4 linked regions of the Arabidopsis thaliana genome follow. The protein of the gene in region 4 interacts with the protein of the main gene of each other region in a pairwise test. Each region holds a gene or a part of one and is shown on either strand. Other genes may lie near its edges.

Evidence for each region.
Region 1: the proteins of NHL1 (region 4) and EMP1 interact in a protein complementation assay, tested with the Arabidopsis thaliana proteins (one large-scale study listed by BioGRID).
Region 2: the proteins of NHL1 (region 4) and BCB interact in a protein complementation assay, tested with the Arabidopsis thaliana proteins (one large-scale study listed by BioGRID).
Region 3: the proteins of NHL1 (region 4) and AT2G42390 interact in a protein complementation assay, tested with the Arabidopsis thaliana proteins (one large-scale study listed by BioGRID).

Annotation. Positions count from the first base shown.
Region 1 is NC_003076.8:3,422,337-3,431,052, reverse strand, and holds EMP1 (Endomembrane protein 70 protein family), read left to right. Parts: upstream 1-3,155; 5' UTR 3,156-3,255; coding exon 3,256-3,393; intron 3,394-3,873; coding exon 3,874-4,038; intron 4,039-4,140; coding exon 4,141-4,250; intron 4,251-4,345; coding exon 4,346-4,457; intron 4,458-4,540; coding exon 4,541-4,653; intron 4,654-4,733; coding exon 4,734-4,884; intron 4,885-4,985; coding exon 4,986-6,143; 3' UTR 6,144-6,365; downstream 6,366-8,716. Other genes in the region: CM2 (chorismate mutase 2), read left to right, coding at 1-33, 123-362; CBSX3 (Cystathionine beta-synthase (CBS) family protein), read left to right, coding at 911-1,171, 1,252-1,333, 1,419-1,492, 1,574-1,634, 1,738-1,880; AT5G10830 (S-adenosyl-L-methionine-dependent methyltransferases superfamily protein), read right to left, coding at 6,404-7,039, 7,173-7,322; AT5G10820 (Major facilitator superfamily protein), read left to right, coding at 7,887-8,546, 8,654-8,716.
Region 2 is NC_003076.8:6,822,518-6,829,430, reverse strand, and holds BCB (blue-copper-binding protein), read right to left. Parts: upstream 3,067-6,913; 5' UTR 2,806-3,066; coding exon 2,634-2,805; intron 2,442-2,633; coding exon 2,023-2,441; 3' UTR 1,683-2,022; downstream 1-1,682. Other genes in the region: PI (K-box region and MADS-box transcription factor family protein), read right to left, coding at 1-228; AT5G20220 (zinc knuckle (CCHC-type) family protein), read right to left, coding at 3,660-4,060, 4,321-4,423, 4,523-4,615, 4,701-4,833, 4,912-5,000, 5,085-5,247, 6,910-6,913. UniProt on the Arabidopsis thaliana protein: Probably acts as an electron carrier.
Region 3 is NC_003071.7:17,648,799-17,656,081, reverse strand, and holds AT2G42390 (kinase C substrate, heavy chain-like protein), read left to right. Parts: upstream 1-3,438; 5' UTR 3,439-3,572; coding exon 3,573-3,666; intron 3,667-3,761; coding exon 3,762-3,875; intron 3,876-4,054; coding exon 4,055-4,150; intron 4,151-4,276; coding exon 4,277-4,471; intron 4,472-4,561; coding exon 4,562-4,701; 3' UTR 4,702-4,976; downstream 4,977-7,283. Other genes in the region: VOZ2 (vascular plant one zinc finger protein 2), read left to right, coding at 1-4, 121-324, 512-1,040, 1,177-1,592; AT2G42395 (uncharacterized protein), read left to right, coding at 2,102-2,179, 2,280-2,516.
Region 4 is NC_003074.8:3,675,898-3,683,165, reverse strand, and holds NHL1 (NDR1/HIN1-like 1), read left to right. Parts: upstream 1-3,222; 5' UTR 3,223-3,505; coding exon 3,506-4,135; 3' UTR 4,136-4,571; downstream 4,572-7,268. Other genes in the region: DGD1 (UDP-Glycosyltransferase superfamily protein), read left to right, coding at 184-665, 766-1,032, 1,134-1,483, 1,566-2,076; NHL2 (NDR1/HIN1-like 2), read left to right, coding at 6,180-6,902. UniProt on the Arabidopsis thaliana protein: May play a role in plant immunity.

The sequences.
Region 1 (8,716 bases), on a different chromosome or scaffold from region 4:
CCACAAGATTACGAGCCTGCGATTCGCGCTCAGGTAAACTTAGTGTCACATTGTGGATTCTGTTTCACTGTGGTTTTAAAATGATATGATTCACACCATAATCGTTTGATTTTCGACTGTAGGATAGAGAGGCTTTGATGAAGCTGTTGACGTTTGAGAAAGTAGAAGAAATGGTTAAGAAGAGAGTGCAGAAGAAAGCAGAAACGTTTGGACAAGAAGTAAAATTCAACTCTGGCTATGGCGATGAGAGTAAGAAGAAGTATAAAGTGGATCCATTGCTTGCCTCTCGCATCTACGGGGAATGGCTTATCCCTCTCACTAAGCTCGTTGAGGTTGAGTATCTTCTACGTCGTCTCGATTGAATATTATTTGTATCCAAATCTGGCCCTGTTAAAGTGGGCCTTAAGTTTTTAAGTGGGCCTGTTGATATTTGTCAGGATATGATAGAATAATTGAATGAAGCAACACAGTCATCACTATTTTAAATTTTGTAAGATATTTTAAGGAAAAGAAAAAAGTCGCCAGTATTTCGCTATCGAAAATCGTTTATTTATATATTTGATGATTATCCATTAGAGAACCCTTCAAAAAACTCTCCACTCAACTCTCTCTGGTCAGCTGTCTCTTCCCCATTCTCTAGGGTTTTCAAGCTCAACCTCAAGCTCCACTACGATCTCTTCTTCTTCTCTAATCTCAGGTCTGAATCTCTCCTTCTTCACTATCTCTGATGCTTTTTACTGAATCTGATTGAGGAAACTTTCCATTTTAGGATTTGTTGATCAAATACACTCGGTTTAAGAATTAGGATCATTCTCTTTTCGATCTAGTTTCATTAGACTCGTTCTTTTAGCTCTTGATTTTATAGATCTCGTTTTGAGGAACTGATTATTTGGTTGTTGACAGTTGAAAGATGCAAGGTGTGATTCGATCCTTCGTCTCCGGTGGAAATGTTGTGAAAGGCTCTGTGCTGCAACATCTCCGTGTGATTAACCCGGCGATTCAGCCTTCTGTGTTTTGTTCACGCTCTGAATCAACTCAACCTGCACGTATGGAGGAATCTGGATTCGAGAGCACAACTATTTCCGATGTCATGAAATCCAAAGGCAAAAGTGCTGATGGATCTTGGCTTTGGTGTACTACTGATGACACTGTTTATGATGCTGTTAAATCCGTATGCTTATACTACTCTCTTTTTCCTTTTTTAGATATCTCGATGTGGATTTGGAATTGATTGTGTTTGATTTTGTTTAGATGACACAACACAATGTTGGTGCCTTGGTGGTTGTGAAACCTGGTGAGCAACAAGCTCTTGCTGGTATCATTACAGAGAGAGGTAAAATTAGATCTAATCATTAATAATTTTTTTGTTGTGTCTTGTGGTATGTGTGATTCACTTTTCGGCATTGTGATTTCTCTAGATTATCTACGGAAGATCATTGTGCAAGGGAGATCATCCAAATCAACAAAAGTTGGAGACATTATGACTGAAGAGGTATGTAAATGCACGATTGTACGATTTTTTTTTTGCTTTTGTGGATTGAAACTGACTGGATCTGTGAACTGGCAATTGCAGAATAAGCTTATCACTGTGACACCGGAGACCAAGGTCTTGCGTGCTATGCAACTGATGACAGGTAAGCAGACAACTTGATATTTTTCCACTAAAGATACAAGCTTTTGGGTTTAAAACCTACTGAAGCAAATAAAAATGCGGGTTTGTGTTTTTGTAATGTACAGATAACCGAATCAGGCATATTCCGGTAATCAAAGACAAGGGCATGATTGGAATGGTGTCCATAGGAGATGTTGTCCGTGCAGTGGTTCATGAGCATAGAGAGGAGCTTCAACGCCTAAATGCGTATATTCAGGGAGGTTACTAGATCTTGAATAATGGAAAGAAAAGAGTTCCCTGTTGTGTCGTCTGGTCTTGTGCTGCTGAATCTGAAAAGCTTCCAGATCAGTGTAAATATGCAGTCCTCGTTGTTATTGTTGTTGTTGTTGTGTTTGATGTTTTGTGTTGTTTCGTTGTTTAACTTGTCAAAACTAAGGCCTTGTGCTGCTTCTCTTCTTGCGCTTACTTAGCAAGAGAATAAAACCAAAAACTCTGATCTCTTTATGAAAGATATGATGTTTGTTTTTGTTATCAAATCTTGCGTCAAGTATCCATGTGTGTTATGAAATAATAGAATTACTTTGAAAATTTGATTTCGGTACAAAGTTTCCGTGTCTTTGGACCATGAAAAATATCTTAACAAGTAAACCAATTCTTTGAATACAAACAAGTAAACCAAGGCAAAATATAAAACGATAGATTTTCTTCAAATCAAATCGATTATGGTGTGGTCACAATATCGTCTCTCAAGGGATCAAACTCCGGTGACCAAGCTTGCACCATGAGATAGCGATCAAACGCCCTCCATGGACCTCCTGTCAACGCTGCCATGTATTCCTCCTCCGCTTCGAACCGAATCATGAAAAACTTACGAGGGAGATCCACAACAGACATTGCTCCTCGTGGTTTCCACATCTCTCGAAGCTTTCTACTTAATGCTGATATTGTCATGTTACGCCCGGGCACTTTCACGATCAAGCTGTTCTTCAACAAACCATTCATCGCCGCCAATACCTCACTGCCAATTGTTATCACTGGTTCTCCATCCTCACCATCAGGGAACTCCAGTGTCATTTGCTCAGACACAAACTCATCATCTAAGATATCATTCGGATTTAGGATACCACCTAAATGTCCCCCCACCACTTTCTTCACCCACGAACCCGGTGCATCAGGAGGGTCTCCCGGAGAATGACCTTTCTCTCCTAGGTCCGTCATGGTCACATCTTGCGTTTCAGATCTCAAGCCTCCGGCGGCGTCGCCCATTTTCTCTCTATCGATTATATTGAGACCACATTTTAACACAATCTTAAAAATGTATAGCAAATGCTTAAAAATCTTGATTGACTTTAATTAATCATGGTTTATCGGATTGGTTTATCCTAGGGTGGGCTTATCGAGTTAGGCCCATTGGTTATGTAGGCTTATAGCTCGTAGAAAGACTTCATGCGTAGTGACGTGGTGAATTATTAATGGTTGATAAGGATCAAACATAAACGAGCCAAACCGGAAAAATAAACCGGGAAGTATTAAATCACAATTAGAGGCGGGTCTTGGTCTCGAGTCTCGAAGCGTATAAGAGTCAAATACAACTGTAGCGTAGCTTCAGATCTGGTTATTTTCTTCCTTCGTGTGGAACAGCCATGGCTATGGAGTTTCTGAGGAGCAGTAGAAGAATATTGGAATCTTCTGGATGCGCGATCGCTTTGATTTTTCTGCTCTTCATCCATGGAGCTCACTCATTCTATCTCCCAGGTGTTGCTCCTCAGGATTTCGAGAAGGTAAAAACGTTTCGAATTTGTGCTTCTAGGCTTTTAGATCTGATTTGGATCTCCTGGATCTGCGTTTCGATTTCCGCTAGGATTAATCCGTTCTTGATTCCCGAGAAAGCTAGAGATAGTGAGAGTTGGAGTGCTGATGCACCGACTTTTGGTTTAGCTATTTTTCTAATAGAATTGGTGATTTCACTTCATTTCCGCTTCACTAATCTCTCGATCTGAACAATGTAGCGTCTTAGGCGAGCTATATCGATATTTATTCTTCTGGATTAGCCTTATTCGCTGTAATTTTGATTACCTTTGTTAGGTTCTTAGTGATCTCTCGCTCTTGATTCGCTTGCCATTACTACGAAATCCAAGTTATGGGTACAAGGGCAATGTCGGTCCTGCATGTTATATGACGAGTCTCAATCAAAGTAGACTTGCATGTTTCACTTCAAAATCATATTCAAATTTTGAGTCTTGTTTTCTTGTATGTTGCAGGGTGATGAGCTGAAGGTGAAAGTGAATAAATTAACTTCCATAAAGACTCAGCTTCCATACTCGTATTACTCCCTTCCTTTTTGTCGCCCTAGCAAGATTGTGGACAGTACTGAGAATCTTGGAGAAGTGCTTCGGGGTGACCGGATTGAGAATGCCCCATACTCGGTTAGTCTCGTATTCAATTTTTAATTTTGTAATTCATCAGGCTGTCAAAAATATTATGTCTGTGATTTAACTCTAACCCTTGCGGGGCTGAAACAATTGCAGTTTAAAATGCGGGAGGCACAAATGTGCAATATTCTCGGCCGGGTCACTCTTGATGCCAAGACAGCTAAAGCGTTTAAAGAAAAGATCGATGATGAGTACCGGGTCAACATGTAAGACCAAATACAGGCACTTTTCTTTGATTATTTGTATGAAGAACATGCTTTTCTCTGTCAGTTTTATTATAAGTGTTTCTGGTCTGTGTTAGGATCCTCGACAACCTTCCTCTGGTTGTTCCAATTGAAAGAGTCGACCAGGGTTCTCCCTCTGTTGTTTATCAGCTTGGTTATCATGTTGGTCTTAAAGGCCAGTACGAGGGGGTAAGTAGGTTTTAATTGTTAAGACACTAAATGGAATTCATGCTAGATCGTTCGATTTTCTAATTTTGTTTTTGCATACGCAGAGCAAAGAGCAGAAGTTCTTTATGCACAATCACTTGGCATTTACAGTCCGCTATCACAGAGATATCCAAACTGATGCTGCAAGAATCGTGGGATTTGAGGTTAAACCTTACAGGTGCAGTTCTTGTTCATAATTTGAATGTCTCTTGGGATCCCCTGTCATTCAGAACTGATATTCCCTCCGTTGATTTGTAGTGTGAAGCATGAGTATGAGGGAGAGTGGAGTGAGAAGACCCGTCTGACGACTTGTGATCCTCACACGAAACGCCTGGTCGTTAGCTCGGCTACCCCTCAAGAAGTTGAACAAAAGAAGGAGATTATCTTCACATATGACGTCGATTTCCAGGCAAGTTTTTTCTTAAGTAATCTGCGGTTTGTGTCTTAAAAAAATTTCATGAATTCTTGTTTTCAATAGTTTTTCTGATTTCCTCTTCTGTTTCTGTCCAGGAAAGTGAAGTGAAGTGGGCATCTAGATGGGATACTTATCTTCTGATGAGTGATAACCAAATCCACTGGTTCTCTATCGTCAATTCTCTGATGATCGTCCTATTCCTATCTGGTATGGTGGCAATGATAATGCTGAGGACCCTTTACCGTGACATTTCACGATACAACGAGCTCGAGACTCAAGAAGAAGCTCAAGAAGAGACAGGATGGAAGCTTGTCCATGGTGATGTTTTCAGACTTCCTACCAATTCTGATCTGCTCTGCGTCTATGTTGGAACAGGGGTCCAGTGTCTAGGCATGGTATTTGTCACAATGATCTTCGCCATGCTCGGATTTCTCTCCCCTTCCAATCGGGGTGGTCTGATGACTGCAATGCTCTTGCTCTGGGTCTTCATGGGACTCTTTGCTGGTTACGCCTCTTCACGTCTCTACAAAATGTTCAAAGGAACAGAGTGGAAGAGAATCGCTTTCAGAACAGCCTTCTTGTTTCCTGCAGTTGTGTCAGCAATCTTCTTTGTCCTAAACGCTCTCATCTGGGGACAGAAGTCATCTGGGGCTGTCCCCTTTGGAACAATGTTCGCCTTGATCTTCCTCTGGTTTGGCATCTCAGTTCCTCTCGTCTTTGTTGGGGGTTACATTGGGTTCAAGAAGCCAGCGGCTGATGACCCAGTGAAAACCAACAAAATCCCGAGGCAAATCCCAGAGCAAGCTTGGTACATGAACCCGGTTTTCTCAATCCTCATTGGAGGAATCTTACCGTTTGGTGCAGTCTTCATCGAGCTCTTCTTCATCCTCACATCCATCTGGCTCAACCAGTTCTACTACATCTTTGGGTTCCTCTTCCTCGTCTTTGTAATCCTCATTGTGACTTGCGCCGAGATAACCGTAGTACTCTGCTACTTCCAGCTTTGCAGTGAGGACTACCTTTGGTGGTGGAGATCATACCTCACATCAGGCTCATCAGCTCTCTACCTCTTCCTCTATGCCACGTTCTACTTCTTCACAAAGCTTCAGATCACCAAACTGGTCTCTGCGATGCTTTACTTTGGGTACATGCTCATCGCCTCCTACGCATTTTTTGTGCTCACAGGAACAATAGGGTTCTATGCTTGTCTCTGGTTCACAAGGCTCATCTATTCCTCTGTTAAGATCGATTAGAGGATATGATGATCATCATGGCGATTAAGGAAACAAAGAAGAAAAGGTGATCATAGTTTATCTTATTTTTCTTTTTAAAATCGGTTTTGTTGCATTTTAGGTTCTATTTTGTTGCATACCAAAAGAGATTTTAATATATGTAATAGAGTGTATTTTGTTTGATTTGTCAAATAACAACACTTTCTGAGAATTTTTGCAATATAACCAATTTTTATAAATAAACTCAAATGAGAACAACAATCAATCATGGTTTGGTGATATCAAACTCTAACTTTTCCTGCAATCATAAAAGCTTTGTAAACGACGGAACGAACCAGATCAGAACCTCCCCAAGCGGTTTCAAGCTCTCTCACCAAACTCTCCGGTAACAACTCGACGCCTTTCTCTCTCGCCGTGACGATGGCCGACCATGATTTAAACATCCTTATGATCCCTTCAAACGACGTCGTTTTAGGCATCTCCAGCTTTAATGGCTCCCCTTCTGATCCCATCCCAACATTTTCGAAAGGAAACGGCAATGCTTCGTACGAATCGAAGATGTGCTGAATGTACGGATACTTCCAAAACGGCAGCGTTGTGGCGTGGAGCCGATACTGGACGGCGTCGAACTCTGGACTCACTATGACGTCGTTGTATCCCCAGACAGCGATGATTCCGCCTGGTTTACGGAGGAGTCGTGTGGCCACTGAGTAGAACCTAGGGAGATCGAACCAGTGTACGCCTTGGGCGACCGTGATTAGATCCACTGAGTTTTCTCCTCCGATTAATTCCACTAGCTCGTCGTCGGTCATTGACGTCGGCGTATGGCGATAATTGATTTTCGGATGTGGCGTTGCTAGCTTCAGCTGCGATTCACTCACGTCCGTTGCTACGACACTCTCGTAATGCTCTGCAACCTGCAAAATGGAGGCGAAATTTGTCAAATCCAAGATCTGATGCATGTTGTTGTGATCATTTACGAGCAAGAAGCTAAATCTGTTAAATCTAAGTTTGAAGCTCTATAAAAATTTATGAGCATCAAATACTGACGGCGAGAGCTGCTTGGCCATTTCCGGTGGCAGCATCCCAGGCTAAACCGTGGTGATCGGTGAGATCAGCGAGCTTCGAGAACCACTCAGAGGGGTAATTAGGTCTGGCGTCAAGGTATAGATCGGCTTGTTTATCAAACAATCCTGCCATTTTCTCTCTGTTTTGCTTCTTCTTTTCTTTCTCTCTTTTTTCTGATTAGTGTCTAGCCATGACTCTCTAGTCATATATAGTAGTCTTTTTAGCTTGTGGGAATCTCAAAGATAATGACCTCCAACGAAGCAGCATATCGCTTTCCTTCTCTATTTTTTAATTGGATTTTGAAGTAATTGTTTAGGTGTTTGTTGATGTTGATTAGGATTTTTGAGTTTCGGTGGGAAGATGAAACATTTGACTTTCTCTTTTTGCTTTCAAGATCTGTCAATCATACTATCGAGTTTGTGAATTTTGGCTAATAAAGCGATTTGGTTTCGTTTTTGTAGAATTTCAGACTGGTAGTTGAAGAAAGACGTCATTGCTTACAAAGTCAACAAGGTAAATGTCATTGTCAAGTGGGAAACTTTATAATATATCTTTTGTTTTTCCTCGTGTGTGAATGTCTAAACCTTTTTGAAAGTCTAAAAGGCATTTCCTTTACATTGAAAATAACGATTAAAGGCTCTTGCTCTCGATATTTTGATTTCAGATCCAATGTTCATCTCCTAAACAGTCAACACCATGGAAACACTAGAAACTGAGAAATTCTTCTCAGACGATAAACCTCTCCTAAAACCAATTTCAGATCATTCTGAGATCAAGACAAAAGCAAGAAGAAACGCTGTCGTCTCAGTTCTAATTCAGCCCTTCCAATGGTTACAAATGCTGAGTTCTAGGCTAAACCTGAGCTTCGTGCTAGGTGTGGTCCTTGTGTACGGTGTAAACCAAGGGTTCTCTGGTTCGATATTCAAAGTCGTCACAGACTATTACTGGAAAGATGTCCAGCAAGTGCAGCCATCGGTTGTGCAGCTTTACATGGGGTTATATTACATTCCATGGGTCATGAGACCCATTTGGGGTCTCTTCACCGATGTGTTCCCTATCAAAGGTTACAAAAGAAAGCCGTATTTTGTAGTTTCTGGTGTTCTTGGTTTGGTATCTGCGATTGCTATTGTTGTTCTTGGTAAGTTGCCCGCTGCTTTGGCTTTGAGCTGCCTCTTAGGTGTCTCTGCAGCTATGGCCATTGCAGATGTGGTGATTGATGCGTGTATAGCAACAAACAGCATCAATATCCGATCTTTGGCTCCTGATATACAGAGCCTTTGTATGGTTTGTTCATCTGCTGGCGCTTTGGTTGGATACGCAACTAGTGGAGTCTTCGTTCACCAGCTTGGACCTCAGGTTGAGCCTTTACACCTTTTTAGTCACGTTTTCAGGACGTGTTCCCTTTAGATATCGAGATTAGAAACTTGAAATCTCGTTTTTCTGTTTTGTTTTTTCTGATATAGGGAGCATTAGGGGTATTAGCATTTTCGCCTGCAACTATCGTCATACTTGGGTTTTTCATCTAC
Region 2 (6,913 bases), on a different chromosome or scaffold from region 4:
GCCAGATAACTTCTGGTATTGGTCCAACATAGCACCAAGATCCATGGAAGGACAACAGTAATCAATCATCTTACCATTACTTGCAAAGATTATGAGGGCAACTTTTGCATCACAAAGAACTGTGATCTCTTTAGCCTTCTTCACCAATCCATTCCTCCTCTTTGAGAACGTCACCACTCTGTTGTTTGCGTTCTCTATCCTCTTTATCTCGATCTTTCCTCTACCCATCTTTCTCTCTCTATCTCTTTCTCAATTTTAGGGTTTGCTATGAAATTGTTAAGATATGGAGGAGAGGATATGTGGTTTATATGAAGAACAAGAAGAGGAGCATTGGTTTTAAAGTAACATTGATGAGATAGAGAGAGAAATGTTTTGATTAATCTTGAGGTGAAGAGAGACTTTGACAGTTTGGGATTGAAAACAAAGCTACTTTCTTGAGGGCACAGTCATGGAAGGCTTGCTTTTGGTTCGCTTATTACACATAGCCAACTCTATTTTCTCTCCTTTTTTTACAGTACCAAGAAGATAAAAAAAAAACTTGAAGTAACGTAATAAAATAAAGTAAAAACAAACTTAGTGATTTTGCTTAATGAACACTCTTTGCATGTGATTGATGTTTATTTTCTTTCATTTGATTTGATCATCTCAGTCTCTCTCGTGATAGGTTAAAGTGTCGTTTAATTAACCTCTGGTCTCTTCCGTACTATGTTTTCTTCAATGAACTGTGTAGAGAAAACAAATTCTAGATATCTGGAAAGATAAAATTCTTCATATGAAATGTGGTCAAACTTTTATTTAGCTTACTCGTGTATGTATATAATTAATTAAATTTAAATTTGAGAGGCAAACATGATAATACCATAATTTCTTATCCAACCACATATATCATCAATTAATTACTTTGGGAAACTATCTTATTATGTCATCAATTATATAAAACGTGAAATAAGATAGTGTCCCAATGATTTTGCAACTAAATCATTTTGCAAATAAATTTCCCATTTTGTCTATCTCGAAAACTAACCATTAAATCAAATGAAAGCAACGAGTTTTGCAACTTTGTAGATTTAAAACCAAAAATCTCTGTAAAGAATTGCTTTTATTTTTACAGGTTCTTACTTTGGCAAAACCAAGACTTGCTATTTCAAGAACTCTATGTCATATATAGGTCTTATCGAATATCGTAGCTACACTAAAAAATCAAACATATTAAATTATTGAAAGTTGAAGATATCACATTGACAAATGAAGTAAATAAAATAAAGTTAAATTCAGATGGTTTAGAAAAAGGAAAAAAAAAAAAGAAAAAGGAGCAGTGTAATTACCAAAGACCTTGGTATAACCATTAGACTTTATCATGCTTACATTGTTATGGGGAAAATGTCTTTGGTTGTTGAAAACAAAACAAGTTTATGGTTTTCTTGATTCACGTCGATCAGACACGTGTCAATTTATTGTGGAATTTTGTGGTCTTATGTTTTGTACTTAGTACGGGCATACTTTTTGGCATTTTCTCGATTATCAAACTATAAAGCCAGAGATTAAAAATCTCCACACACAAAAAAAAAAAAAAAAAAAAAAAAAAGTTGTGAATTCAGGTGAGAAACGTATCCACTGAAACAAAAATACCATATTGTTGGTATATTGAATTAGTAGATAACCTATGTCTTTTTAATATTATTCTAACTTCGGTTCACAATCAGGTAATGTTTACTCGTTGATTGAAAATATTGAGAAGGCAAATTTTGTCTAATTATACATGAAAACTAGACAAATTGGATGAAGAAGATGACTAATTTTCATGAAATATGGTAATATATAGTAGTAATCTCAATGATATTGAAACCCACTCTTTATTTTGCAACCGAATAATCATATATTGAAACTCAATACTAATCACAAGTATAAGACGTTTATAATGACTTGAAAACAAGTCCTTATTCTCACAAATAATCAAATACATGACTATTTAAATAAGGAGAGTAAGGTAAAACAAATACATAACTAGGTTTCGAGTGTGACTCAAAAGAGAGCAACAACAGCAGAAACAAAAGCGACCAGAAAAGTAGCACCACCTAATGAGGAAGCGGCATTTCCAGCTGGAGTAGTGGTTCCGCTAGAGCCTGAAGGTGTTGTGGTCCCACCCGCAGTGGGAGGAGTGGTTCCTCCAGTACTTGGGGTTGATCCAGGTGCTGGGGTAGCACCGGCACCAGGAGTAGCACCTCCAGTTGCACCAGCAGCAACTACAGTGATGGAAAGTTTTTGACCAAAACGACAATGGTCACCGACGGTGCAGATAAAGTATTGTGGTCCAGTGGTGTTTAGCATAATTTTGACCGGAGGAACGGTCATGTGGCTAATGGGTTTCTCTTTCTCACAGTTTTCAAATGCAGCTTCTGATACAACTGCCACATCATGCCTCCCAGCAGCGAAATCAAATTCTGTAATAAGAATATCAACATCAGTCGGTGGAAACTCAATTAATCCCTTTTTTAGCTAAAATATGTTCATAAGAATATAGAAAGAAAGACAGAACAACACCGACATGATCCATGCACGATCCCATAACTATGACTGTTATAAGAACAAGAAAAACAAAGACATATTTCAGCTATAAGAACAATAAAACTCACCGAGCTCGTCGCCTACACGGAAAGTTTTACCGGTAGCCCAAGTAGTATAGAACTCGGGGTCCATAGGTCTCGTCCATTCCGTATCATCACCAACATCGTAGTCCTCCGCGAAGACAACAACGGCAGCGAAAACCAAAACAAGAAACGTAACCGTTTTGAAAACTCCGGCCATTATGTTATGTGTTGAAGAACTCAGGTCACCCCCTTTTCTTTTCTTGGTCGAGAACTATATATGTCGTCTCTTAAAAGATAGTAAATGACCCCTTTTGATTTTTGTGTTTGTTGTGGTTTCAAAAGTCTTGCAAGAGAGACTTATATTTATAGGACAATTAAAGAGAGGCTCTCAAGGAGTCATACGCAAGATACGGGAAGACGCGTTACGTGTTGTGTCGTTGAACAAATCCAAATTTAGATATTATCACTTGTGGTCAATTTTGTCTGCTAAGTTTTTTTTGTCCACAATTGTTATTTTTAGCGCGTAAAGACATTGTACATTTGTAAATTTAGATCAAGTAAAAAACGTGACTAATTACTTTTTGGGTAATGATTATAAAATTTAGTGTTCAGACTAAATATAACTACCTAATAATAACCATCCGATATTAAGGCATCGAAGAATAGTAGCATACTAATGTTAGAAAAAACAAAGTGTTAAATGTGGATATGGATGAGATATTAGGTGTTTATAGCATTTATATGGATAAGTCGATAATTGTTCAGAAATTTCTAGGCTCGATTGTCTTTCTTTGCATGGGTCCGTTGTACCAATTCAGGTCGTATTCAAGAAAAATCAACCCAACAAGTATATATACTTGCACGTAAACGAATGCGGTCATAACCCGAAACCAAAAGCGGTCAAACTCACTTCAGTTTTTGTTTGAGTTTAGATAGTTCAAAAAAGACCAATCGGGACTCAAGTGATTGGTCCGATTATAAACCCGAAATATCCATCCGCTAAAAAGGACTTGTCAGTGATTGGTTATTTCAGCTTCAATAGCAAAACCAAGCCTAACCAAATAAACAGGTTCAAGAACCTTCTTGCTCTAAACAAGAATCACTGTCTGAAACTTGTTTACTTGGACAGGTTCTTACATTATGTCCCATTTTCTTGCAGAACCCACAAGCATACGTTATTTTACCAACACCATCTTCCCCGGAATTTTCACCACTGCAACTAGGATTCACTCCGGTCGGCTTCCGGCATGTTCTGCTGTTGTGACCTCTCTCACCGCATATTCCACATTTGTGATACCTAGTGGAAATGCCTTTAGTGACTATTGATTTCGACTTAGGACAAGTTCTACGGTTGTGGCCTTTCCCGCCGCAACCCCGACATCTAAATTTTCTGTCCGCATTAGTGCCTAGTTCTGGACAGTAATGGCGTCTATGGCCTTCCTGTCCACAGTTCTTGCAGTAAAACTTAGTTCCTGAATCAATGAGAGAAAAATGGTTCTTTTACCATTTCATAGCTTGCACATGGAACTGTCACCACAAAAGGAAATCAAATCGAAACCTACATTTCTACACTTCGAATCAACATTATATCTCAACTTTAAGTGACAAGCCTCAACCTAATTCATCACAGTGATCTCACATTATTGGAGAATGTAAACAGATAAAGCTCAAGAAACAAAAGAGTACTACATGGACCTAAACTCTGAAATTCTACCAAGAAACTGAGACTTACCTTTCATAGATAGGCTTCTCTGTTCACGGTTTACAGGGTTACTGAAGAAAGCTTTCATAGATTCGGATGCATGCTTTCTAGCAGCTGGTGTTCCTTTAGCTTTCTAGAACACAACAACACTAAGCAGATTCAAGGGAAAAAAACAACAAAACTTGTTCCATGTTAATTTAGGATATAAAACAAAATGGAGTAGATTACAGACCTTAATTGCAGCTACTCTTTGAGCATGAAGCACTGGATCACGATGTATAATCTTCATGCGCTTACTAAAAAGTCCAGTTTTGGCATTGAGACTCTATAAAAACCATAATTTGGACTGACTATGACAATTTCCCATGGAGAGAGTAGAATAACATGAAGTGTATATGAATGAAACTAACTTTTAGAGATCGGCTGATCTTTTGTCCAACTTCAGGAGTTGGTGACTGATAAATCCGCTTCGATTTTCGCCTTTTACTGAACTTTATCTCTAAATTATCAACCTCATCATCCTCCTTTACTCTAAATGGAGAACTGTGGCAGAAAAAAATGAGGTTTATTAGTCAAACATTAAACAGAATTAAGACTTCAACTCTTGAATAACAACACTACCTGGATCTAGCTTTCTCCCAAGGTCGTTCATCGATTGATTCTTCCCATATGACACAATCCCCCAAACATCTGAGACAAGTCATTATGCCCTACACAAATTTAAGCAAAGTTTCTATAACAAGGAAAGACTTTTGTTACTCAAAAGTTTAAAGTAATTTAATACTTTTAAGTACCTTTCCTTTGCATTGAGGGCAGTCTAATCGCGACCTCTCGATTCCGCAATTTGAACATGAAGTATAACCTCTTCCCCTACAAGTTGGACAAGGAAGCTCTCGAATGTACTGACCGTTAGGACCAAACCATGACCTTGGTTCACGCGAATCACCAGATATGAACCTGAATAAACCATCACCAAAAGCACATTTTTGAAGCTTAGCCAAATTGTGGATCATGTATTTTACCAACTATCAAGTACACCGACTTGACCAAGTAACAATATGTATTCCTTACTTTTTTAAGATTTTCTTTTTCTTTTTAGGAAATTATTAAGAGTTTTTTTTTTCCTCAAACTTCAAAGAGTTTCCATTTTGGCATTTTTTTTTTTTTCCTATTAGTAGAGTGCTTTGCTTTTACGTTTTAGTATAAATAAAGATAGGGTCTCGATTATGAGACTCATACAAGCTAGAGAGAGCTTTGAGTTTTATACGTTTTGGGTTTCTTTGAGTCTTGCAATAAAGAGAGCTTTTCGTGGGGTTCTGTGTGACCGTGATTGTTAACTACCTGCAAATAAGAACTTGAGGAATGACTACCAGTAGGATTGAGTCACGTTTGATCGCGATAGAAAAGTACCACAAGGCCTTGCATGAAGAATTTATTGGGTTTCATAAGAGACAGAAAGAGATCCAGGATGCTATTTTGGAGTTTACAAGGATGGTTTCGGCTTCAAAATCGTCGCATTCTAAACAAGAATCTGCAACTGTCCTTGAGGAGGACATTGAGATGCCAAGTTTTGATGGAGACCATCTCTTCATATGGCTAGAAATCATTGAAGTTTACTTTACTTTGCAACTCGCTCCAGAGGTTTGCAAGGTAGACACTGCATTCAGGAGTATGGAAGGTGATGCTCTACTCTGGTTACAATGTCTACGACAAGAGAACCCGACTTTAACATGGTCTCAACTAAAAACTGAGCTTATAGAAGAATTTGGAGGAGGAGATATTACGGCCTCTCCTGAAGAACAATTGGCATCACTTCGACAAACAGGATCCGTAGATGAGTACGCTAATGAATTCCGTGCTCGGGCAGCTCAAATAGGTAATAAGGACCAACTTGTAAAAGGCATGTTTCTTAATGGACTTAAAGAAGAAATCCGGGTGATGTTCCGACCAAACGATGCTGAAGGACCAGAGATGGCTATACGCACCGCAAAAGCAATCGAGAGAGAGTTGAATTTTAACAACCGAGCAAAGGGTAGACGCCAATATTCGTCGCACCAAGAATATTTTGACATGGAAGGAACAGGCCTTTGTTATCCCGGCTATCAGCCGTACTCCATCTTTGATGACTTCTGAGGATAAGGCAATCATGGATGGAGAGATACGTGCTATGTAAGAAGAATAGACTACACTACCACAGGAGCAAGCCTTGAGGACAAGACTTTACTTTGGGAGGCTGGAATGTTATGTTTTTTTCTTATTTTTATTTAGGATTTTCTATTTCTTGAATTTATGAAGGATTGTTTAATGCTTCCACTATTCTATTTTCAAGATTACTTCTACATCCATGCTTGTCTTTTACGTTTTAGTTTACTTATGCATCCATGCTTGGTTTTTCTATTTTTTTTTATGAAAGATTGTTTAGGACTTCCACTTGTCTGATCCTAACTCAAATAAGACATTGCAGGCAGATGCCAAAATTATCATACTCTTGCTTTTATAAAAGAATGAGAAAACTAGTGATTGTTTTCATTAAGAAGCTTCATAGTTGTTTTGAGTTTAGAGCTGTTTCATGAAATTGATCGTGAATTCAGTATAAAAGAGGTTTTGAAATTGTCTGACCTGG
Region 3 (7,283 bases), on a different chromosome or scaffold from region 4:
GTTGGTTCGTCCTACTCCATTACCATACTTCTCTATGGTTTATGGTTCCAATTCTTTGAAAAATAGTGAATCTGTAAGCTTGGTTGAGATTTAGCTCTTTTGGTCTTTAACATGTTGCAGGGTGAAGGTATTAGCCAATTCCTTGAGGAGTTTGCTCCTCTGTTGAAATTAGACGAGGAGGATGATGCAACTAGTACGCTAAAAGAACATGCTGGAGCAAAGCCTGATCCTGAGGGTTTTTCTCAAAGCTTGTGCCCTCCTGAATGGACATCTGAGAATTTTAGTCAAAGTCCTTTCAACGGAAATTTCTCCTGCGGCTTTGAGGTGAGCTAGATACAGTTTCTGCGTCAAAATTGTCTTCTATAATCTTTTGATTGTTGGTTAGATGTTCCTAGACATTTGAACACCGTTGATTCTTTATTCCAGTTCAGCTATGAGTTTTGATCTTTTTCATTCTTGTCTTAGTTTTGATTTTGTTTCCTTATGTACAAGTTCACCTTTTCTATCTCAGGATGCTCTTAATAGCACAGAAACACATGGCCAGCAACTCCATTATGGATATGAAGGGTTTGATCCAAGCATAAACTCCGCTCCTGATTTCCATGACCAAAAACTCAGCAGCAACTTGGATATAACTTCTCAGTATGATTATATTTTCTCCGAAGTGCGTCAGGAACTAGATAACAGCCCTTCCACTAAGCTTGATTCTTCTGAAGAGATTGACAACTTTGCTGAATTTTCTACTCCATCAAGTGTCCGTGTGCCTCCATCTGCTTTTCTGGGACCTAAGTGTGCACTATGGGATTGCACAAGGCCTGCTCAGGGCTCCGAGTGGTACCTGGATTACTGCAGTAACTACCATGGGACTCTAGCTCTGAATGAAGATTCGCCTGGCACAGCACCTGTATTGAGGCCAGGGGGCATCAGTTTGAAAGATAATCTATTGATTGATGCTCTTCGTGCAAAGACTCAGGGTAAGAATGTTGGGATCCCAGTGTGTGAAGGAGCTGTTAACACAAAATGCCCATGGAACGCAGCAGGTGAGAGCATTGTCCCACTAGAGCCCAGTTTTGCTTCTCTCTTTGTTTTAGTTCAACATTTCGTTGCCTCTTTGAAAACAGAAGCCTTATGTGAGTTTCTTACTTTTGCCTGACCCTTAATTTTTTGTACTTGCAGAGCTATTTCATCTTGAACTGGTTGAAGGCGAAACAATTAGAGAGTGGCTCTTCTTTGACAAACCTAGAAGAGCATATGATAGCGGAAACCGAAAGCAAAGATCACTTCCAGATTACAGTGGAAGAGGTTGGCATGAATCAAGAAAACAACTGATGAAGGAACAAGAAGGCCAGAAGAGATCTTACTATATGGATCCACAACCTCCAGGTCCCTTTGAGTGGCATCTCTTTGAATACCAAATCAATGAATCTGACGCATGTGCGTTATATCGCCTAGAACTTAAAGTAGGAAATGGAAAGAAGAGTCCTAAGGGAAAGATTTCAAAAGACCCTCTGGCTGATCTGCAGAAGAAGATGGGACAGTTTAAAGTGGCTTCAGACAAACCCTCTCCTCCAACCAAAGGTCGTAAGGAGTGAAGTTAGCTATTGGTAATCTAACTCAAGACTCCTGCAACAATAGCTCCAAGTTGTCTCCAGCATTCTACAAAAGAGCCATCGCCACCTCTGTTTTCTTTTTTTTTTTCTTTCTGACTGTATTATGAAGAGATAGGATCTTTGATGTGTTGTGTTAATATGGACAAGTCTGGTCTTTGCCCTTTTTCTTGATAGAATCGTAGATGGGTTTGTAAATTTTTGCATTTTATTTTTCTCCTTTAAAACCACAAGGATTTTGTTAACGAAGTGGTGTATTCATATTTCAAAGGTACATTTGCAACACCATTGATTCTTTATTCCAATTCTTATCTACGTGTGTGTGTGAATGAAACTTGAAACCAATACAAGTCACTAATGCTCTCAGATTATGTAATTGGGCTTTACTGGGCCGTTTATAAAATTGGGCTAGAAAAAGGGAGACAGCAGACGACAAGAGCATCCTTGTTCTCTTTAAACCCTAAATTACAAGCAAATCACCAACAGAGAGAGTAATGGCGAAAAATTCTGGTAGCTCGTTTGAAGCAGAGAAATCAGAGGGAAAGTGTGTTACGACGACTACTGAAGCACAAGTAATTCAAAATTCTGGCTGATGAATTATGTATTTGATTTTACGTATTTGTAATTCACTAATTCTCACTGATTCATACAATTTGTGTCGTAAATGAACAGCAAAGTAGTCAACCTGTTTTGAGCAAGGAAGAGGAGAAAGTGAGAGATAGCTACTTGTTCTGCTGTGAAAATTTCTACACTCTTCCTGAGATGATCAATTTCATGAAGGAGATTCATGGTGTAGAACAAACCACTGTGACAAAGGTTTTCAGGGAACTTTTAAAAGGTAGAAAAGCTGAAGCATATCTCAGAGAATCTCAGAAAAGAATGAAGGCAAGAACAACAACAACAACTTGAACAGAGGAGGATGAGGCTTAGGTTGCTCTAATTTGAAATTCTTTGGTTTGGTTTACTGGTTAGTAAGAAATAGACTTGTATTGTCACATTTTTTTATCATATTTTGAGGTCCATTGCTTTGGGTGTATGGACCAGACTAGGACAAATGAATAGGAGATGCAAAAGGGTAATAATGGAGAAGTCAGTCTTGTTGGTCTATTCTTGTCCGAGTCCATGATTTTTAGAGGGAGAACTAGAAGGAGGAACTAAAAGTTGTTTAGGTTAATGGTTTAGGTGCTAAGTGTTGGCTCTGTGTGTTACTTATGACTCGTGGGATCTAATGTCTTGTGAAAAATCACTTGTGAGATAAAATGGACATAGTCTAGAGAAGAAGGTATATAAGAAGAAAAGCAGTCAACTTAACTACAAAATCACAACGGCTCACAACTGTTTTATGTTGTAGAAGTTGGTTGCTTCTTAGAGTGGTTCATTCTTCATTACCAGCTAACCGCAAATAACCGTGACTTGAAGTCTTTCGAATTACACTTCTTTCACTCGTGGTTCAAACTTCTTCTGTTCAAGTTGTTATGCCTTCTCCAGCCATTACTTGATTTCAAAATGGTGTTGATGGTCTCATTCTTGAAGGCTTGGATGTTTCTCAACTTTTTGCTCTTGAACAAGAGCCAAGAGGTGATGGGACTCCGTAGTACAAACACAATTTAAGAACGTTTGAGTAAGAGTTTTGATTCACATTGAAAAAAAAACTTAGAAGAAAAAATGAACCAAACTAAAATAATCAAATTAATTTAGTTTATTAATCAAGAATTAAATCAAGTTTTAATAATAACCTGAATTGTAGATTTTTTTTCTTTTCTTAATAGTCGAATACTGAACACTGTAGTATTAAATGAAAACTCAAAGCCCAATATAATTCAAAGCCCATCGAATCAAATATCTGGCCACTCCACTTATTCTTAACTTGAAACTTAAAAGCCGAAATCGTAAAGAGAGAATCTGGTCGGAATAATCCACTCGAATCTTAAAACGACGTCGGTTTAACCAAATGCGAGTCAACGGATGCTGCTGCAATGCGTCGTGTTGTGTTCGTCACTCGCCGTCGTCGTCATCTCCGTCGCTTCGACCTCTCCCCTCGTTGGTGTTCACCCTTTAGGTTACTTCTTCGATGACTCTTATCTTTATTATATCGACAAATCTGAAAAATGTTCTTGTTCTCTGATTCTTACTTACTTCTTTGTTGTGAGGCAGATGAAAAGTATTTCGACTCAGATGTTATCAAATGCAAAGATGGCTCCAAATCTTTCACAAGAGATCGTCTCAACGACAACTTCTGCGATTGTCTCGACGGCACCGATGAGCCTGGTACACACTTTTTTCTCAATTTAGAATCCAGAGAGCTGAGATGACATGAGACTTTAAATTCTTTCCAGATAAAAAGATTTAGGACTAGAATTGATCGAATCTTATTCTCTTTCACAATTTCAATTATGAAAAATGTGTTCTTGTGAGTAAGTTTCTGAATTTCTGATTTTGCATTACAGGAACTTCGGCATGTCCAAATGGCAAATTTTACTGTAGGAACATTGGAAGTTCTCCAAAGTTCGTTTACTCTTCTCGTGTGAATGATCGAATCTGTGGTCAGTAGTTACTAATGTTCTGAATTCGACTAAATGATTCTCGTTTCAGCTGTCTCTTGCTGTATGCTAGTAATCTACATGTTTTTGTTGGATTGGATAAGCAGCATGACATTGTCTGTTTCTCAGATTGCTGCGATGGAAGCGACGAGTACGAAAGTAGCATTCATTGTCCCAACACTTGTATAATGGGTGGTAACGTTAACTACATCTACAAACCTAGAGCCAACCTTAAATCTATACACTTGCAACTCGGTTCAACGCCTCATCCAAAGGAGTTTTATACTATAGGAAATCTTCAGGACATGGTCAAGAATCTACAAGGTTTTGCAACTTTTCTTGGGAAGCTTATTTGTTTTGTTTGATTGTCTAGCAAACTGATACAAAAACAATTGTTGTTGTTGTTGTTTCCAGGTATGAAGCTTGTTTTCGCTCTTCAGATGGTTTTTATCGGTTTCTTAGTGATCTTATGGATGCTTAGGAGTCGTGCTCGGTCTAAGAGACGACGCTATCTGCTGAAGAATGTACCTCCCATTAATAGATCAGCTAACTAACTCCCTGGAACTTGTATTATACTTTTGTGAAGCTTTTACGTGGAACCTGAGTGTTAAAGCCACATATGTCAAGTGTCATTACTAGCTATACTTATTCAGTGTGAGATTGTTTGTTCCTAGTTACATAATTGTCTTGGTCTTCATGTTTATTAAGCCTTCAGATCCTCAGACCATAGTAGGTACCGATGAGTCTTATCACAAGTAAGATAGTCACATGATCTGCAGATTTTCTAGAAAATGGATGGATTCACAATTTGAATGATCTCATGGTGAATTATTCGACTGATATAAGGTTTTATGAAAATGAACTCTTGTTTGTTTCTCACAGACAAAATCAATATACAAAAAACATTACAAGCCATTGAAGAGAAGAGAGAAATTTACAGTTAAAAAATCCTGAAAAAATGATTTGTAAACTCAAGATTGGAAACATCCACAAGTTGCCTTTGGAACAATTCTAATGGCCCAGTATTTTAGCAGCCGTTTCTTCTTGCTTCTCCACGCTTACCTTCAATCATTGCACTTCTTTCTTCTGCTTCCTTGTGAGTCACTGAAACCTAATTCATCCTCTCTGCATACTCCTGCTTTCTTCTTCTCTAGTTCCTCCTGCAGTGAAACAAATTCACAAACACTTCACTTCTCATTGTTCTCAATCACATTGAAACAGTATCAGCTCTCTATTGCTAAGTTTATTTTACCTCCATTTTCTTGAGTTGCACTTCGACAGCTGCTTTCTTCACTTCTCAACGGAAAACTAGTCACATAGTTTAGTTTAAGGTCACCTCTAACGAGTGAAGCAGACCAAGATTTCGCCAGTGCAGATTCTGTAAGAATTTTCATTCTACTAAAACATAAACAGCAATATGCCAAGCCTTAACACAAAGAGTGTCACAGGTAAACACATACAGAGCAAATGCATGATTCTGTCATAAAGCTTCAAATTTAGCTGTAATATATTACCTCCATGGATGTGTATTGAATCGTAAATAGGCCGCTTCTCTCTCGAAACAAGAACTAGCAATGGTAGCCTGATGTCAACGTATGTTGTATGAATCAAGTCCCCAGTGCAACTTGAAGGTAAAAGAACTTCTTCACACTGTTAGGTCGAAAGGTGAAACTTAAAGCTTATGTACTAGACAAGGCGATGGAACTTCTTCACACTGTTAAGGACAGACTTAGAGGTAAAAGAAAAACTTGAGTAGCTCATGGAGTTTAGCTAGAGGTTGGTCGCTAAGATATTTGTAAACTGAAGATGCTAATGGTTATATTAGGGATGATGATCTTGAAGGAATTATTTGGAAATGACATAACAGATGATGTGTGATTTCCTCCTTTAAAACAAAATCGTTTGGTTTTGATAATCATGAAAATATTTCTATGAGATTACTGTCCGACACACATTTAGAGAAATAATTCACTGACTATATATTCCGTAAATACATGTACATATAACTTTCTCAAGTTTGATTTATAATTTTAACATTTCAACAAAACAAAAAAATATAGATTCCGTTAAATATTCCTATCGATCCGGAAAAGTAAAAAATTGGACAGACAAAATATCCAAAATTATACGATTTAAGAGAGAAAAAAAAAGTAGCAAGTGTCCTACATGTGGGTGTGGTCTGGGACAAAGCAAATATAGAGGGGAAAAAAAGAGTACAGAAAACAAATCACATGGACTCACACATCAACATTATACTCTTCACTCTCTCTCCACTCGTCCACTACCCTACTTTCTCCATGCATTGTTTAGCCCTCCTCATAGCAGTGATGGTAACAAGATAATCCATTACCATGGTGAAAGATATGTGATAAATAAGCTAAGTCGTCGGATTTGTTTTCCAATAAATTAAGTCATGTTTATCAACTCGACTTAATTCTATTATTCTATATATAGATGATACTGTGTGCTATTAACTCATGTATTCATTGTACTTGCTTGACGTAGGTTTACATGTACCAAAATTATTAATTGACACATATGATTTGCAACAAATACGAGATATTGCATTTACATGAACCTATCGAAAAACCATTCATAAGAAAGAAACGTATTAACCATTCAACAAAAGAAAGGTCACAAGAACACGTGCTTGCTTGATTCCTCCTCCAAATCTCTTTACATAGATTAAAAAGAAAAAAACCAGTGGAGGAGAATTTCCAGTTATACCGTTGAGACCTTTAGCCTCACTTCTCAAGACAGCTGTTTCATAGCTGTCCGATCTCAATATCTCCCTCCATGTGGCCCTACTCAGAGAGATAAATTAAACACTTTGATCACATCGAATTTATTATGTTCTTTCATAAGATTTTACATAATATATATCTCATGTATATATATATATATCTCTATTTATCTCCTTCATTAATTCTGTTTTTTTACTTCCTTCTATTTATATAACTATCATTTGTTAAACATAGCCATTTTGGTTACTCTTGTTCCGTTTTCTTCTTTCTTCCTCTCCTTCCTTTTTTCTTTTCTCTATCTTCTTCATATGGTTCATGACATTGATCTAATTCCACTTCCCATTTGTCTCCACATTTCGTTTCTTTCCTTTGTTTTTTCATCTAGGTTTTTG
Region 4 (7,268 bases):
TATCAAATATGTGTAAGTCTAGATTCTGTATGAGACAGATCAATCAAATGACATCTGCCGTAGACATAAAAATTTCTAGATGTGTAGGTTATTGGTTTTAAACACCCTTTCTTGTACATTATCTTATAGTTTCAGTGTTTACATACAAAGTTCCTGATTCTGTTCTGCTGAATTTTCTTTCAGATACATGTGACCGAATAGTAGAAAGCCTTTGCAAATGCAAGAGCCAACAACTTTGGCGTCTGCCATCTGCACAAGCATCCGATTTAATTGAAAATGATAACCATGGAGTTGATTTGGATATGAGGATAGCCAGTGTTCTTCAAAGCACAGGACACCATTATGATGGTGGGTTTTGGACTGATTTTGTGAAGCCTGAGACACCGGAAAACAAAAGGCATGTGGCAATTGTTACAACAGCTAGTCTTCCTTGGATGACCGGAACAGCTGTAAATCCGCTATTCAGAGCGGCGTATTTGGCAAAAGCTGCAAAACAGAGTGTTACTCTCGTGGTTCCTTGGCTCTGCGAATCTGATCAAGAACTAGTGTATCCAAACAATCTCACCTTCAGCTCACCTGAAGAACAAGAGAGTTATATACGTAAATGGTTGGAGGAAAGGATTGGTTTCAAGGCTGATTTTAAAATCTCCTTTTACCCAGGAAAGGTATGTTGATCATTTTGGATTCTATTTTTTTATTTCTATGGCTGCCAATATGTTTTTCAATTATTTCTATAGAGTAACTGAGCTTTCTGGTTTCTTATAGTTTTCAAAAGAAAGGCGCAGCATATTTCCTGCTGGTGACACTTCTCAATTTATATCGTCAAAAGATGCTGACATTGCTATACTTGAAGAACCTGAACATCTCAACTGGTATTATCACGGCAAGCGTTGGACTGATAAATTCAACCATGTTGTTGGAATTGTCCACACAAACTACTTAGAGTACATCAAGAGGGAGAAGAATGGAGCTCTTCAAGCATTTTTTGTGAACCATGTAAACAATTGGGTCACACGAGCGTATTGTGACAAGGTGAATCATCTACTCTATTTCTTCAAGCCTTGTTCTGTTGCTTGAATCCTCTTTACTAATAAATAGTACACGAGCTAATACATATTTTCTACTCATGAAAGGTTCTTCGCCTCTCTGCGGCAACACAAGATTTACCAAAGTCTGTTGTATGCAATGTCCATGGTGTCAATCCCAAGTTCCTTATGATTGGGGAGAAAATTGCTGAAGAGAGATCCCGTGGTGAACAAGCTTTCTCAAAAGGTGCATACTTCTTAGGAAAAATGGTGTGGGCTAAAGGATACAGAGAACTAATAGATCTGATGGCTAAACACAAAAGCGAACTTGGGAGCTTCAATCTAGATGTATATGGGAACGGTGAAGATGCAGTCGAGGTCCAACGTGCAGCAAAGAAACATGACTTGAATCTCAATTTCCTCAAAGGAAGGGACCACGCTGACGATGCTCTTCACAAGTAAGTTCTGAAAAATGTGCTTTGCTTTTAAAAACTTGTTAAGGTTTCGCTCTTTGATTGTCTTTCCCACATCTTGATGAAGGTACAAAGTGTTCATAAACCCCAGCATCAGCGATGTTCTATGCACAGCAACCGCAGAAGCACTAGCCATGGGGAAGTTTGTGGTGTGTGCAGATCACCCTTCAAACGAATTCTTTAGATCATTCCCGAACTGCTTAACTTACAAAACATCCGAAGACTTTGTGTCCAAAGTGCAAGAAGCAATGACGAAAGAGCCACTACCTCTCACTCCTGAACAAATGTACAATCTCTCTTGGGAAGCAGCAACACAGAGGTTCATGGAGTATTCAGATCTCGATAAGATCTTAAACAATGGAGAGGGAGGAAGGAAGATGCGAAAATCAAGATCGGTTCCGAGCTTTAACGAGGTGGTCGATGGAGGATTGGCATTCTCACACTATGTTCTAACAGGGAACGATTTCTTGAGACTATGCACTGGAGCAACACCAAGAACAAAAGACTATGATAATCAACATTGCAAGGATCTGAATCTCGTACCACCTCACGTTCACAAGCCAATCTTCGGCTGGTAGATATTTCCCCATAGGCCACCCAGTTATTGCTTGTGACTTATTAAACCACTACGTTATTGTTATCCTTTTTTACTTTTACAGTTGTTGTAGGTCGTTTGTTTGTTAATAGAAAGGGTAGATTATTATTAGATGTCTTTTTGTAAAATATCAATACGAAGCGTATTTGATGATATATAAAATAACTATATTGGCAAAAATATGAACTATGAAGGCCGTTTTCGTGATTTTGTTCTTTTGTTTCACGAATTCAAGCTATTCCCCTTTTTTTACGCCAAAGATGAAAAGAACCCTCCCTATTAATATCGCTATTGTCTAAAATTTCGAAAACTACTTTAATCACGACTAGACCAAATATATGTCGACCGATACCGATAGAGAAATTAGTGCCCCGTCTAATACTTTCTCTCCAAAATTACAGAATATTTAGAGTAGTTAATCAACGTAACACGACAAGGAAAATGATGGAAAAAGTGGTGGTTTCTGCTTTGGCAACTAGTGTTAGGTCACTTACGTCCTCTTTTTCTGTATTGGAAATTACGTGGATAAATTGAACTTTCTTTCAATCTCTATCAAATTATTAATCCACACATGTATACGCAATATATGATCATTAAATAAATAAAAAGTTAGATTGGTCTATAAATTCGTATCACAAATGGACTAATAATTTGTAGTGAAAACTCATTTACCCATGTGACAGCTCCAAATTTCTGAACTTTTTATTTTGAGGGATGGTACAAATCCGAGTTCCATGATCATGGAAAAATCAAATTTAACAAACACAAATTACTGTTTGAAACAAGCAAGTTACTATATATGTAGTTTGATTTCACACTAGAGAATCTACTGATAATGAATTTTTTATATATCGTGAAGCTGAAAGTGAAATTATAACTAGCTAGTTGAATTGCTTATTATGGTTGGAGGGGAGCCGATGAAAAATTCTTCGACCACACATAAAGTCACCTTTCTAAAGAACACTTGCACCGACCACATCAATCACGCATTCATAAATTTTCAACATTTATATAAATGTAGGAAAAAAACAAAATGAATTATAGAGAATACAAAATGACAGTTAACAATAAATATATCACAACATAAATTTTATGTAAGAAGGTTAGCATGATTTTTAAAAATATATTGTTGTGATTAAATGGAAAATAAAAATGTAGAATACTTGTTTCTTTAAAAGGGTCTTTGTTTTGATTACAATTTTTTTTTTTAAAGAATACCTTTAATATTAGGGAGAATTATTATAGTTTATAATATGAGAATACCTTTATTTCCCTATCACACTCCTATAAATCCTACATATAATTAGCCCATTATTTAGAGCCATCACTAAAACAAAAAATCTCTTAACAACTTCTCCACCTTCTCCCCACCACCACCACTCACCGTCGGAGAAAGAAAAAAAACAACCACCATGAAAGACTGTGAAAACCACGGCCACTCTCGCCGGAAACTAATAAGGCGAATATTTTGGTCAATAATCTTCGTCCTCTTCATCATCTTCCTAACAATCCTCCTCATTTGGGCAATTCTCCAACCATCAAAGCCACGCTTCATCCTCCAAGACGCCACCGTCTACGCCTTCAACGTCTCCGGCAATCCACCGAACCTCCTCACCTCCAACTTCCAAATCACTCTCTCTTCCCGGAACCCTAACAACAAAATCGGCATTTACTACGACCGGCTTGACGTCTACGCTACTTACCGGAGCCAACAAATCACTTTCCCAACATCAATCCCTCCCACGTATCAGGGACACAAAGATGTCGACATCTGGTCGCCGTTTGTTTACGGAACCTCCGTTCCCATCGCTCCTTTTAACGGCGTTAGTCTTGACACCGATAAAGATAACGGTGTCGTTTTGTTGATCATTCGTGCTGATGGTAGAGTGAGGTGGAAGGTTGGGACTTTTATCACCGGGAAGTATCATCTTCATGTGAAGTGTCCAGCATATATAAACTTCGGTAACAAAGCTAACGGAGTTATCGTCGGAGACAACGCCGTTAAGTATACGTTTACCACTAGTTGTAGTGTTAGTGTGTGAAACGGCGACGAAGAAAAATAAGGTAACTAAACGTCTTCGTTAAGTAATCTGTCTTAGTGATGTGAATTGTACATTTTGCTTATACGAATAGCAAATATTACAGATTCGTGATGTTGTAACGAATTTTAAGAATTTCAATATGTATACTTTTTTTTTATTATAGTTGAATTCTAAATTCTATTATAAGTTGTGATGATTTTTTCGAAGTATTTTTTTTGCTGATTTTGATGCATCTTCTGATCCTGTCAAATCGACTTTTGATGACTTTTTCTTATGTATATGGTAAAGTTTGATGGCGATGGAGATTAATTTTTAGTTGAATAGATTAGGCTCGTTAATGTTTTGTGGACGTTGTGTGATGGTGTCATTGTCCATTTGTCTCCATCTTTTTATTAAATTAAATAGAGAGATGCATTTTATATAGAGACTATTCTACAACAAATAAGACATTTCAAAAAGATAAATTTTGTGGATTGGATTATTTTTAGTCACATCTATGGATTTATAGATAAGTTCTATTTGTTGGTGTCTGGCTTAAAAAAATGTTTTTCGTGCACTTTAAAAGCCCATTCTCCTAGAGTTTTGCTACATTGAAATAAAGTTAATACATAACGTTACTTACAAGAATTTAGAATCCGTGGATATTATCGTGGATATTATCGTGGATATTCTTGGATTACCGTGAATATTCTTGGATCTTGAATTGTGAAAATCAGAATCCGGTCTAGAGACTTATTTCTCGTTTATCTGCATTTCCATTCATTTAACTTATAATGTGGTCCATGAAATTGACCAAAGAAATTAAAGGGGAATATGGTCCTTTAAAACTTATTATCTAAGTTGGGAATGAAAATAATATAAGAAACGTTAGACGAAAAAAGTCAGTCACCAATAAGACTTTGGATATCAGTCACATGATATATAGTAGTATATAAGCAACGTTCCATACTTCTATCTCAAATAAAGTTGAGAAACCTAACTTTGGATTTCCTTTGATTTTCAATAAAAATAAAGTGGTTATGAACGTGCTGTGTGTGCTGTTCACACAAAGGCACTAGAACGTCCGAGTAATGCTCAGCCAAACTCACATAATTTTCTGAAAAATGGCCTTTGCTACCTAACTTAAAAATAATTTACAACAACGGAAACTTTAGATAGTTGATCATTGATCAATAGTGCGTGCATCAGTGCATGCATATTTGGAATGAATCAATATTGATTACATATGCAGTGGATCTATCTCAAAATAATACTGATCAACTATTTGTAATATAATTCTTCATTCAAACAAATTAAGTGTTTTAAAAATGTTAATAATTATGATCTCTATCTTAGACATTTTGAGTTTATGTGTTCATGACTATATTTAGTGTAGTTCCATGAAACTAGGGTTTTAGTAGCGTCTTTATGTTCGTCTACTAACGGGCTACACTATTTTATGTTGGGCCGAATTTGGGATAAGCCTTCTACAATTTGGGATATCACTCATCACATTTTACATATTCCTACTTTCTTCCTTAGCATTGAGAAACAAACTTGAAAATAACGCCTACTTAAACCTAGTTTTATGGAGCTGCACACTAAATAAATTGTTTCTTTTTAGTAACAATAGTGGCTAGACGTTTAATTATTAAACCTTTACATTTGAAATGCTTCTCGATTGCTGAAAAAGCTCTGACCACATTCAAAACGTAACGGCACTTCTTTTTCAAAAAATTAAACCGTTGGTTAAGTATAACCGATCTTGGTTATCTATCAATAACAACAACAAAATAGCAAATAATGGTCACAATTAATTTTCCTTGACCAAATCCTTCATTCATTAACCAAATCAGACCAACAAAATCAAATATTCGCGTCGTTTTGAATTCGTTTCCTTAATTAAAAATAAAACGCGTTTCATTAAAAGCAGAATTTATCTCTTTCTCTATCTATATAATCTTCTTATTCTTCTTCACTGAGCCATTTTTATTCTTAGGCTAAACAAATTCGAATTCTGAAACCTCTGTTTTGAATTTCTCTCTGAGGCAATTCGTCGAACAACATGGGGTCCAAACAACCATACCTAAACGGCGCGTACTACGGACCATCAATTCCACCACCGCCTAAGGCTCACCGCAGCTATAACTCACCTGGATTCGGATGCTGTTGCTTCAGCTGCCTCGGAAGCTGTCTACGTTGCTGCGGTTGCTGCATCTTAAGCCTGATCTGCAACATCCTCATAGCTGTAGCCGTAATCCTCGGAGTCGCCGCTCTTATCCTCTGGCTCATCTTCCGTCCAAACGCCGTCAAATTCTACGTCGCCGACGCTAATCTGAACCGATTCAGCTTCGATCCAAACAACAACCTCCATTACAGTCTCGATCTCAATTTCACAATCCGTAACCCTAATCAACGAGTCGGAGTCTACTACGATGAGTTCTCGGTTAGTGGCTATTACGGAGATCAGAGATTCGGATCTGCGAACGTTTCGTCGTTTTATCAAGGGCATAAGAATACGACGGTGATTTTAACCAAAATTGAAGGACAGAATCTGGTGGTGCTCGGCGACGGAGCGAGAACAGATCTAAAAGATGATGAGAAATCTGGGATTTATCGGATTAATGCGAAATTGAGGCTAAGTGTTAGGTTTAAGTTTTGGTTTATAAAGTCGTGGAAGCTTAAACCAAAGATTAAGTGTGATGATCTTAAGATTCCTCTTGGTTCCTCTAATTCTACAGGAGGGTTTAAGTTTCAACCGGTGCAGTGTGACTTTGACTTATCTTAGTAAACTCCAAGTTTTATGAATTCTTTTTTCTTTTCATGTTTTTTTTCTTCTATTTATCTACATTAGATTTTGTTTCTTCGCTTGATATGGATTATGTTGATTTATTTGTTCTTACTCTATTTTTCCTATGAAAACCAATCGAAATGCACTTACTCAATTGTCAATTAGAACTAAGACCAATGACTAAAGTATACACTTCAAACGCGGGATAGAATTTGGATAACAAATTGCTTTTTGTGTGTATCGCACTAAAAGCTAATCCAAACGGCATAAAACATCTTTACTTTTGTAAGCCTTTTTCTTTGGCTTTTTAGCAACGTTTTCGAAAAAAGAAAAGCCAAAGTTCAGAAAACAAAAGTTAGTATT